Linked DNA regions of Oryctolagus cuniculus. The protein of the gene in region 2 interacts with the protein of the main gene of each other region in a pairwise test. Links are inferred from orthologs where the notes say so. Each region holds a gene or a part of one and is shown on either strand. Other genes may lie near its edges. The genes, in order: RASSF2, RASSF5 and MYLIP.

Evidence for each region.
Region 1: the proteins of RASSF5 (region 2) and RASSF2 interact in binary tests that used the Homo sapiens proteins (3 or more experiments, as listed by UniProt). The link is inferred for Oryctolagus cuniculus from reciprocal best matches to the Homo sapiens genes RASSF5 and RASSF2.
Region 3: the proteins of RASSF5 (region 2) and MYLIP interact in binary tests that used the Homo sapiens proteins (3 or more experiments, as listed by UniProt). The two-hybrid records come from large-scale screens. The link is inferred for Oryctolagus cuniculus from reciprocal best matches to the Homo sapiens genes RASSF5 and MYLIP.

What each region holds. Positions count from the first base shown.
Region 1 is NC_091442.1:29,939,573-29,943,801, forward strand, and holds the start of RASSF2 (ras association domain-containing protein 2), read right to left. Parts: upstream 2,884-4,229; 5' UTR 2,786-2,883; intron 2,701-2,785; exon of another isoform or gene 2,456-2,700; intron 2,166-2,455; exon of another isoform or gene 1,937-2,165; intron 1,716-1,936; 5' UTR 1,641-1,715; intron 1-1,640. UniProt on the Homo sapiens protein: Potential tumor suppressor. Acts as a KRAS-specific effector protein. May promote apoptosis and cell cycle arrest. Stabilizes STK3/MST2 by protecting it from proteasomal degradation.
Region 2 is NC_091444.1:21,763,518-21,766,495, reverse strand, and holds the end of RASSF5 (ras association domain-containing protein 5), read right to left. Parts: intron 2,146-2,978; coding exon 1,993-2,145; 3' UTR 538-1,992; downstream 1-537. UniProt on the Homo sapiens protein: Potential tumor suppressor. Seems to be involved in lymphocyte adhesion by linking RAP1A activation upon T-cell receptor or chemokine stimulation to integrin activation.
Region 3 is NC_091436.1:143,408,870-143,413,242, forward strand, and holds the start of MYLIP (E3 ubiquitin-protein ligase MYLIP), read left to right. Parts: upstream 1-1,463; 5' UTR 1,464-1,685; coding exon 1,686-1,772; intron 1,773-2,790; coding exon 2,791-2,981; intron 2,982-4,373. UniProt on the Homo sapiens protein: E3 ubiquitin-protein ligase that mediates ubiquitination and subsequent proteasomal degradation of myosin regulatory light chain (MRLC), LDLR, VLDLR and LRP8. Activity depends on E2 enzymes of the UBE2D family.

The DNA.
Region 1 (4,229 bases), on a different chromosome or scaffold from region 2:
TCCACATCCCCCACAGGAACCCACAAGCAGGCCAAGTAAGCGACACCGGCAATCACAGACTGGTGGAGCTTGCCCCACCTCCAAGACTCTTTTAAAATTCTTCTGGGAAGCAGGGAGGTGTTCATGGGACAGTGTGTCAGTGGGGTAAACAGCTGGCCTGGGCTGTGATGCATGACAGGAGGGACTGTCACCTGGGGCTTTATAATCCCAGCTGCAGCCACTCTGCAGCCACAGCTGGAAGACAGGGACTGGAAGTCCTGTTCTATTCCAAGGACGTAGCTGCACTGGTACGTGCGCACGGGAAGGGCAAGACTTAAGCAAGTCCTGGGGCCACTCCTGACATCACTCGCTCCACTTCCCAGCCTCTCTGGCAACCTGGCCCTGACTCTCTGTCCCCACCTCCCGTACAGTGAGGCTACTTCCTGCCAAAGCATCCCAAAGAGGCCGGAGCACACTCCCCAGCCAAGGTCCCCCACGCTCTGCTGACAGCTCCCCTTTCTGGCCAGCCCTCTGAGGCAGCTGCGGTGCCAAGATGCTCAGCCCCGGGCAGCTCTCCAGTCGACGCTCTCAGCCATTGCTAAGCAGCTCACGCACAGAGCAGAGACACGAAGACTGGCTCCGGGGCACCAGGAAACAGAAACAAAAGCAGACTCAGGCGAGCGAGCCCCAGCATTGGAAGGTAAGGAAGAGAGAGCCCAGGGCTTGCAATGAAGTTCTCTGAAGAGAACACAAACTGGGGAGAAAGTCTGAGTCTCCAAGCAGAAGCCGCGCAGAGATGCAGAGAGAGATGGACTGCGGCGCCCAGGGACAAAGTGGACACTGCCCCTGTGAAGGTGGGGATGATGCTGGCCGGAGTTGGAGCAGGTGCAGGTACAGCCCGTGCTCTGGCCTGCTTGGCTAAAAGCAGAGGACACCCCTACACACACACACACACACACACACACACACACAGAGGCACCCCTACATACACACATACACACACACACACAGGCACCCCTACACACACACACACACACACACACACACACCTGTCCCTGAAGGAAGCACGACCAGGGGCTCCTCCCGCCAGGCTTCTCAGGTTTCTCCCCCCATTATTCTAACCTGATTTCCACCACACACAATGAGGGAAGTGGATTACCCAGGATATATATAAGCTGTACCCCAGGAATTATCTCGGGTCTCCCCTGGACTCCACCCCTGGCAAACAGGGCTCACCTCCCAGGCTCCCCAGCACAGGGAATCACAAACCCCAGCTGCCCACACTCCCCAGTGCCCAGGCAGATTACAAGTCAGGTCCCAATCTTTGCTAAGGCCAAGGGCCCAGTGGCCTGCCTATGGCCCCACTTCTGTGGGACACCTCAGCATTTGGCTACAAGTTGAAAAACATGAATTCTCCTCAAGCGACCCAATGTGTCTGACCATGAGAAGTTTCATTCTTCCACCTGCAGAAAAAGTTGCAAGTTCCATTCAACCTGGGATTCCACCCTAGGCCCCCCTGGCTGCCTTTCCCCTTTTGAAACAATTATGGTTTCTAGTTCTTTCTCCCCATGATCCCAGAATCAACAGTGGCAGGAGCTGAGTCCCCTCCAGGAGAAACTCCTGTCAGCTCAGCCGCTCCTACAATCACCGCCAGGACTTACTGTAACGCTGGCCGGCTGCGTCCCCTGTCTCTGCGCCCCCGGAGAACACGTGCTAGACCCGCGGATTCCGGACACCTGCGAATAAAGGGCGCGCAGCAGCGCTGATTAGTACTGTGTGCGGGGTCTGCTGTCCCTGCGGCGCAGGACTCTCGCAGCTCCTCTTCCCTCCCTACCCCCCAAGAGCTTAAACAGAGCCACCGCCACTCTGCGGTCCCCAGGGCGCCGCGAGCTTAGAGCTGAGTGCAAAGTAAGCGCTGAAAATGCAGAAGTGGCCTGAGGCCGCCCTAGGCACCTGCCTCGCTCCGGGCGAGAGAGGACGCTACGCCGAAATCCCCAGCGACCTCCGGCACCAGCTCGGAAGCGAGCTGGGAGACCGAAAAAGGGAAGTGCCCCGAGAACCAGGGGACCCGAGGCAGAAGGAGACGTGGGTGCGCCGCCTCCCCGCGCCGGGGACTGGAACTCGCCTCTGGGGCCCCGTCGGTCGCGCAGGGAAGAAGCGGGGAGGATAGAGGTCGGGGACTCGCCGCGGATGTACGGGCCTGCCTATCCCTGCACCTGCCGCCCGGGAGACCCGGAGCCCCTGGGGACGGGTGGGGGCGCACTCCCGCCTCCACCCTTGGCGCACAGAGAAGGATGGACCCCCCAGGGATCCCAGGAGAGGACCGGCTCGTAGCCACAACTTTCTGCGGCCGGAAGGCGGGCGGGCTAGGGCCGGGTGCCTGCGGGGTCTATGAGGGGTGGGGGTGAGTCCGCAAGCCCGGGAAGGCCCGCAGCTGCGGGAGGAGGGAGGAGCGCAGGGGCAGGAGAGGACTGACCCGCTGACCCGGACTGGAAGCAGGGGCCACCGCCAGAAAACTTTGGGCGAGGCGAGGGACTCGGGGGAGAGGACTGCCGAGCCCTGCACCTTGCGCCCCGCGCCTTGCCTGCGTCCCGGGCGAGCTGCACCCCGCGCTCGCCGCGGGGACCGTGGAGTTGGAAAGCGGGGGTGCCGGGGCCGGGGAGCTGCCTCAGCCGCGCCTCTGTCAGCGGTCTTCAGGCCCGGCTCCGACCCCAGGGGCAGGGTGGGTGGGGGTCGGGCGCCCCGCCCCGCCCTCCCCTCGCCCAGCCTCGCGCTCCCTCCTCCCCCTCCGCCTTGATCAGCCTACCGGGTCTGCGCGTCCGCTCCCCCCTCTTTCTCTCGCCCGCCATCCCTCCCGCACCCTCTGCCCTCGCCTTTCTTCCTCCTCCCCTCCCCGCCGGGGGCGGAGCTTCTCCCCTCCCTCCCAGACAAAGCTGTGGCTGCGCGTCCCGGCTCCCGCGGCCCACGCTTCTTCCGGGCTGGCGGCAGGGGTGGGAGGGGGCGGCCGTGCGGGGGTGCGGAGGGAGGGGTCCCCCGCCGCTCCATCGCCGCTGCCCTCGCCCAGCGGGGTGCAGACTTGACCCGGCTCCCGGGCTCCCGGGCGCGCCCGGCACTGTGACAGCCACGCCCACGCCCGCCGAGCCCACCTGGAGCGCCCCGGATCCCCCCTGCCCCGGGCAGAGGATAAGGGGGCTTCTCCTTCCTGACACCGCGACCCTTTCCCGGCAAGGTCTGAGCCGGGCGCCGGCTAGTGGGCCCCTGCGCCGTGGCGGGCTGGCAGACGTGACAGCGAAGCACGACCGAGGCCAAGTTTCTTTGTCCATCTTTCCCGCCCGGGGGCTTCCAGGGCACGGGAGGCCCTGGAGCACCCCGGATGCGAGTTTCCTGTTCTCTTATCAGAATCCCACCTTCTCCCTGCCGCCCACCTTGCAGCATCTCCCCCCGCCCAAGAGGAAGGGGTCCTAAGGGTGCAGGGTGGCCAAGCCCCAACCCCGCCTGGAAGCGGAGCGTTCTTCGCGCCGCACATTGTTTGCATCTTGGAATGCGTCTCCCTTAGAAACAATGTCGCACATGGGGATCCGCTCTCGGCCCGGTGCAAGTCTGCAGAGCCCGAAGTGCAGCTGTGGGGCGGTGCTGAGAATGCTCCGCGCCCGGGAGCAGGGCGACGTCTTGCACCGGGGAAAAGTATCCTCGGGGGTTTGCAGCCCGTGCTGGGGGCTCGAAGCACGAAGCTCTCGCCTTCCTGTTCCCCGCTGGAGCCTCTTTGCTGTGAAGCTCCTGTCCTTTGCGGGCGGGTAAGGGGAATGCCCCCGGGGAATGTGTTCTGAGGACACAGGGGGTTTCCTCCAGGGGGCTTCATGGAGAGCTCAGACAGGCAAAGCCAGAGGCTGGAGGGAGCCGGCTGGGAGGGGGTCTCCGTCTCTTTCCCCTTTCGTCTCACAGTGGCCTTCCCTGCATCCTGGACACTTGACACAGCGTCGCTTTAACTCCCAGCCCTGGGTTTGGCACTCTGATGTGGAAGTACCCAGAGGCTCCTGCTGAAATCCCTTAGCCTCTACTGCCACTTCCCAGAAGAGAAACTCGCTGGCACACCCTGGGACAGGTGAGCGTCCTATGAGCAAGCATCTGGCTCCTGCTGTCCAAACTGGGCTGCCAGGACGCCTGCCTGCAGGCCCTGTTCAAAACCAAATCCATCTCTCTCCTTTCTCAGTTGATCAGGTATTTGATTCAAGGTATTAGGAAACATCTTT
Region 2 (2,978 bases):
CTATCCTGAAAACAAACCCAGCAACTCCACCAGAGAAGGCACTAGCAGCAGCTGCCCCGCCCACCTCGGGAGGGGAGGGCCTCGGCGCAGCCTCCCACCCGAGTCCCGGGTCTGACTGTGCTTTAGAGACTCTGCATTTCCCCTAACTCTCTTACGTCATAAACACCCTTATCTCTATATATAGTTATATGCCTTTATGTATATATGTACATGACTTTTCTTCTCAAAAAATAAACGCCGCCCCCAGGGAGGGAGGTCTCAGCAGCATTCACAGCGGTTGCAGCAGGAGCCACGCCTTCTAGGAACCTCGGGTCGCACGGGCTGAGGGGAGGGGCCTCCCTGCCCCCTTTCAGAGGCAGGGGTGGGGGCTGGGGGGTGGGGGGGTGGTAAGGCTGAGCGTGGGCGGGCAGATCACCGAGTTGTTGCGGTTTAAGAAAATCTTCAGGGCGGCCAGCCTGTGTTGCTTTTACGGCTCTGAAGATGGCAGTGAGCACCAAGGGTCAGCACTCTTTCTGGGCCCGGGGCCGCATGGGCTTAGCTGGGGTCAGGGAGGGAACTTCCGAGCCTACACGGGGGAGCTTGGCCTTCAGCCAGCCCAGCAGGGGCTCAGGGACGCAGAAGACAGCAAAAAAAAGTTTCTCAGAGGCTGGATTGGAAAAACCTGCCCTGCTCTGAATATGCAAGTCCTCTTCCCTCCACACTGGAGTGTCTTCGCAGTCCAGGCCGCTTGGTGGGATGGTTGGCTCATTGAAGTCTGAACCGATACACCGGAGCCAGAACAAAGGTACAGGGCTGGGGCTCTGATCCCCTCAGTAACTGTCTGCCGGCACGTCTCGGGCGTGAGAGCCCTGGAACCTAGACAGGATGGAGGTATGGGACCCCAGCCCCTCAGGAGCCACAGCTCCCCTGGCAGGAGCAAGCCAGCCTCAGGGCTTCGAGCAGTCACCCCTGTTATCTCTGGAGACAAAGGCACTGAGGTCAGTGGGGAGCCCAGGCCCCTGGGCTTGCTGAGCACGGTGCCACGGGCCAGCCCACACTTCAGAGCAAAGGGCCAGCATGTTGGCCGGGCTGTGGGTTTCCCTCCGATCAGAGCAAACCCTCACGTTGCACCGGGCGATCCCAGAGTTCCTCAGCACGAGGGAGGCAGTGCTGGAGGCCTGGGGGAAGCCGAGGCAGCCCAGGCCTTCTCACAGGTCGGGTGAGGCTGAAGACGGCTTGCGCATGGTCATCTGCAATTCAGGCTTGCTGCCTGATTTCCGTGCTCAGCGGGAGGCTTCCAGTGGTCAATGGCTGGTTTCCCTTGGGTGGAAACACATGAGAATTCTAGTGACGTTAAATGTAAACTTAAACTGAAAAGCAAGTTTAGACAAAGATGTGACTACCCGATGGCCACAGATACATGCCTTTGGGTTTGCAAAGAGGGCCAGCGGGGCCAGGGCAGGCTGCAGCGTCTCGGCGCCAGTCAGCTTTGGCGCTCCCAGGCCTGGGACTTTGCGGATCTCCCCTCTGCAGGCAGCCTGGGGCAGGGGGACGATGCCCTGAGCACACTCCTGCCTGCCAAAGGCACATGCTCCAACTCATAAATAAAGGCGCCCAGGGGGAGGAATACGGGCGACTGAAGAATCAAAGCCAGAGGGAACGTAGCTCTTAACACCGCTTCCTTTTCCTTTGCCGGCTGGGGTGACAGGTTCCAGTTTGGTGACGAGAGACGCGACTATTTGGCTTCTGAAAGGCTTGCAGATTGAGAGGACAGTGCTGTTGGTTTCACGGAAGTGGCCCCTGACAGAGTCTACAGGGGCCACAGTTGGGGGTGGGCAGGGGCCAGGCCGCCCCTCCCACGCACAGACGCTTGTCCACGGAAGAAACTTTGTGCCTCATCTGCAACTGCTGGGCAGGCGCGCGCACCCGCCAGAGGGGTCCTGAGAAAAGTGTCCGTTGCAAAATAATTAAAAATAAATCCGAGGGCATGGGCAGGAAGGGCGGCAGGACCGGTTACCCAGGCTTGCCCTGGGATTCCCTTAGGGCCGCCTCCAGCTGTCGTCTAAACTTGCCGTACTTCCTCTGCACCTGCTGGATTTTGTCCTGCTCCTCCTTCTCCAGGATTGTGAGGAAGTTCTGGAGCTCAGGGATGGAGAAGGCGTCCCACTGTGTGAGGAGAGAGGGGGGGTTAGACGCGGCCTACAGCAGCGGTGCACGCGGCTTGCTACTGGATAGGCAGGGACAAGGAGCGGGGCTCGGGCTTTGCTGTCTGAACCGCGACGGTGCAAGTCCTCGCGTCTCCTGCCCAAGAGTTACCTGTCCATGCACTGTGTGTGCTTGGATTTGGAGAGTCAAGTTTTCTGTGTAGCTGCTGAGATTTTTTTTTTTTTTTTTAAGATTTTTATTTATTTGAAAGAGTTACACAGAGAGAGGGAGGCAGAGAGAGAGGTCTTCCATCCGCTGTTCACTCCCCGGATGGCCGCAACGGCCGGAAGCTTCTTCCGGGTCTCCCACGTGGGTACAGAGGCCCAAGGCCCTGGGCCATCTTCTGCTTTCCCAGGCCATAGGCAGCTGAGATCTTAACAGTGATGCTAGGAGCACCCCGGACCCCCAGCGGCAGGTGGAAGAGGACACCAGGCCTTGAGCCTGACCCCAATCCTGCACCGGCTGTGTGACCTCAAGGACATCACCCCACCCTTGTTTTCTCATTCCTCAAGAACTGAGGGTCTCTGCCGCCCGTGGCAGACCAAGAACGAGAGGTAGAGCCAGGCCTGCAAGCCCCAGCTCGGGAGTGCTCCACGGGGCCAGCGCTGGTCACACATGGAAGCAGCCTCTACACACTGGACAGGTAAAGGTTGCGGCAGCAATGCTGCCTGCCTGAAGTGGAGAAGAGGGACAGAGCCCTGCCTGGCTCTCCCAGATCTCACAGTGACCCGCAGACTGCTCCTCCAACCCTGGGCCTCTGAGCACATGTGACCAACCGTAGGACCCTCCCCAGG
Region 3 (4,373 bases), on a different chromosome or scaffold from region 2:
CAGTTTCTTCTTTTTCCCCCTAAGATTTATTTATTTATTTGAAAGGTAGCGTTACAGAGAAAGGCGGAGAGACACAGAGCTCAGAGGGCCACGACAGTCTAGGCCAGGAGCCTGAAACTCCATCCAGGTCTCCCACACGGGTGGCAAGGCCCAGGCACTTGAGCCATCTTCTGCTGCTTGCCCAGGTGCATGAGCAGGGAGCTGGCTGGGAAGTGGAGCAGTGAGGCTGGCAGCAGCTTAACTTGCTGTGTCACAACGCTGGCCCCTAGTCCAGTTTGTGCCCCTTTCGGTGAGGGCCTGTGGTAGGCTCCCTCTCTTTTGCTTTCTGCTCTGCTGCCTTTCCTACAACAGAAATCAAGCGACCTGGCACAGAGATTCACCCGAAAAGAGGTAGGAACGGGAGCCATCATTAGCAGGCAGTGACCGGGGCGGACATGACAGCTCTGGCATTAAACACAAGGACACAAATGCTGTCATGGATGGTCTCCCCTTGGCTGCTCTGGCGGCCCATAGAACAGATGTCTTGGGCTCCACCCTAGCAGCAGTTGGCAACACTGGGCCTCAGAGAGAAGTAAAATTTCCAAAGGCCTGGGGCTCCTCCTGCAAAGAAACCCGAGATGTGGGTTGAGTAATGCACTGGTAAGCAGGAATAAACAGTAACTGAGTGAAGAGCTGTGGAGTTCCAGTTGCTAAATAGCTACTACGGAACAGGGAACATGACGGCGGGGTGGGGTGGGGGGTCCCCGATGCAGCAGGGGCTCCCTGAATGCTGGCTGACTGAGCCGAGGTAAGACCTGAGACGGGATGGGCAGCCTGAGAGAAGGCCTGGGGCCCCGTGACGGGGGGCTTTCATTCGGCAGGGCTCAGCCAACAGAAGCCCCTAGAGAGGGCCGACCCTCATCTGCGAGCGGCTGCAAGGCGCTCTGACATTCAGTCGCTGTTATTTCGGAGCCAGGGTCTACACGAAGGGACCGCCTGGGTTGCCGTCCCCAACCAGACACGGAGGCAAACCCGGAGGGGGCGGGTAGGCGTCCGTGGGCTCCGCGGGGGCTCCTCTTCTTTTTAGGCTTTCGCGACCCAAACGCCCTCCTGGAGGGACCCCATGTTTCAGGGGCAGCTTGGAGGCGTTTAGTCCTCTCACTGTCGAGCCCCCGACAGGGAGACGTCGCCGCCAGCAGCCCGAGGCGACCGCTCGCGAGGAGCAGCGTCGCCCAGCGGGCACAGGCACCGGGTGTTCTCCGGGCCCCCCCAACCCCTTCGCGGCTCCAGGCGCCCGCCAGCGGCCGCCTCCCGCAGCGGCACGGGGAACTCAGGCGGCGCTGGTGGCCGGGGCCGCCCGAGCGGGCTCCCCGATTGGCTGATGGGGCGGCGGGAGGAGGGGCAGGGGCGCCGCGATTGGCCGGGTCCCGAGCCGGAGGGGGCGGAGCCGCTATATCAGGGGAGCGCCTGTCGCGGCGCAGGCAGTTGGCTGCTGGAGTGCGGCGTCGCCGCGGAGTGCCCGGGGGCCGGCAGGGCGGGCGGGCTGGCGGGCGAGGGGGTGGCGGGGACGGAGCTGCGGCCGCGGGCGTCTGTCTGCAGCCCTCGCCGAGCCCGGGGCTGGGTTCGAGCTTTGGCGAGGCGGTAGCCCCGCGTACACCAAAGAGGAGGTGGCTGAGGTGGCCGTGGCGGCAGCGGCGGCCCCAGCCATGCTGTGCTATGTGACGAGGCCGGACGCGGTGCTGATGGAGGTGGAGGTGGAGGCGAAAGCCAACGGCGAGGACTGCCTCAATCAGGTGAGAGCGAGCACCCAGGTCCGGGCCCACGTCGGTCTCCAGAGGCCGACGGGCCTCGAAGGCGGCCGGGCGCCTCAGGGAGCGCGCCCCAGGCAGGCACCGGGCCCCGCACCCCGATCCCGCTGCGGGCGTGCGGCGCGCGACCCCCTCCCGGGCGCGCTGGCGGGGTGCGGAGGATGCGCGCTGCGGGGGCCCCTGGCGCGGGGGCGCGGGCAGAGCCCGGAGCGCAGCCCAGCCCCCCCGCAAGCCGGCACTTTGCCAGAGCCAGGCGGCCCAGCACACTTGCCTCAGGTGTGTGTGCGTGACGCCGCCGGTGGGGTCCCTGCAGTGCCACCCACGTCCCAAAAAGGAGTGAGTGGACGCGGTCTCGGGCCCAGGGTGCCTTGGCAGGCAAGCTTGGCCCTTGTCCCGTGCCGCGTTTCCAGCGGAGCACTCACCTGCATCTTCGGATTTGCGGGCGGGGGCAGAGGTACTGTAGTTGTGGGTGCACCTGCTTGGCTGCCTTGAAGCCCGCGTTTCCTTCCAGAGCGAAGGGGGAACCGAGCTGGTTCGGCAGGCAGCAGGTCTGATCCCAGGGGACGCTGTGCTCCCACGCCGTGTAGACAGGAGAGGTTTGGAGAACCTCGTGTGACGCACAGCTGACACTTGTGGCGGGTCTCGCGTGCGTGCGTGCGTGTGTGTGTGTGTTTGGAGTCCAGGTGGTTAACACTACCCAGATAATAGCTGTCGGAGCAGCTCTGTGGATTGTGCTGGTACCGGGCATCGTAGTGACTGGAGTCAGAAGGAAGAGACCCTGAAGATGCCCCTGCTCTTGAGCACTGCTCTTTCTGGGCTGCTGTGGGCATGCCCTAGATATTGAGGGAGGGAGGGACAGGTCTCCGTCCTGGAGCCAGCGGTTAGCGTCGCAGCACCGGTGGGTTTTGGCAGAACTGTAGCAGTCTTCAGCTCCAGAGAGCCCCGGGTTCCTTTGACCCCATGTCCCGTTTGCTCATCCGTGCCGCCTTTGTTTTGACTTCAGGTGTGCAGGCGACTGGGAATCATAGAAGTTGACTATTTTGGACTGCAGTTTACCGGTAGCAAAGGTGAAAGTTTATGGCTAAACCTGAGAAACCGGATCTCCCAGCAGATGGACGGGCTGGCCCCTTACCGGCTTAAACTCAGAGTCAAGTTCTTCGTGGAGCCTCATCTCATCTTACAGGAGCAGACGAGGTAAAGCGGCACTCAGATAGACCCTTGTCAGATGCACCTTAGATTCTGTTTAGGGGGCGCCGGAGCAGCCTCCCCGGGGTGTTCACAGGCAAATTTGGTGCGGTGAATGCCTTCCTTACCCACGTTCTGCAGGGCACAGCCCTTTGGTTGAAGAGGGAGCCACATAGTTGGCCTGGGCGCATTTTGCAGCTCCTGTTTTTATAAACTTAATGGGAGAGCTGGGTAGAATTCCCACAAACCCTTGAGATTGTTGTCACATGGGGGAAAAAAAAAGAACCAGCCAGAGAAACACCAAACTGCCTACTTCCTGACAGCAGCATCCAATGGCCGATAGTAACCTCTGCCTCGGCAGTGTTACTGTAGGTCACTGTGGACGTTCTAACAGAAAGCAGGAAACAGTTCCTCTTGGGTTACTTAAACTTGGTCAGCTTCGGCCAGTGTCAGATTACAGTGTGTAGCAGAGAACTCTGTCAGGCTTTGTGCAGAATTTTTGAAGTTTTTAGTTTCTTGAAAACTTAATAAGAGCACTCTTTTAAGGCTACTGTAACTGAATCCTAACCCACAAATACATTGCACACGATTGGGGAGTCTCTCTCTGCCTTGTGAAAATCCACCACTAGTGGTAGACAACTGAAGCAAATGATCTTTTTTAAACAAAAATGTGTTCTCTCTGGCACTGACTTAGTACTTTTCTCAAGGGTGAGTGAAACTAGGAAAGTTATGTTTAATATTTATGGCTAAAATGCAAGACTTCAGTCTTACTAAAGCAGTCAAAAAGAAAAAAAACGAAAATGGCTACTTTTAAAAACAGCAAACTTGGATCTAAGCTGTAATGTTTTTCATAATCCTTTGCCTTGGAAATCTGCCATGCATGTGAAAAATGTGATTCTGAAAATTTTGAATAATGATGAGTGAGCAATATTCTTTAAAGATTTTTTTTTGGTTTGTTTATCAGAGAGCTGATAGAAATACATTTTGAAATAGTATTTATTTGAGTTTGAAATTTCCACTTTGTTTTTTTATAAAACTCAAAATGTTGAGGAAAATGTTTTATTTCTGAAGGAAGCAGTTATACTGAATTTTTAGTGCTCTTGAAAATATCTTGCAAAATATTCAAGTGACAGCATGCTTAAGGAAGTTATAGCTGTCTATGTTAATCAAAATGGGCTTTTTTTCTTTAAACTAATTTTTGAAAGCTTCTGCTTTGCACTTCACTGCCGTAACTCACAGTAGAATAAAAGACAAAGTATATATAACAAAGCATAGTGGAATTTTCATTACATAGTCTTATGATTTTTCAGTTATTTCGGGCTACCAGATACAACCCAATTTAAATGTTTTAAATCTGCACACATTTAGAGGGCCAAATACTTCATTTAAACAATGAAAGTG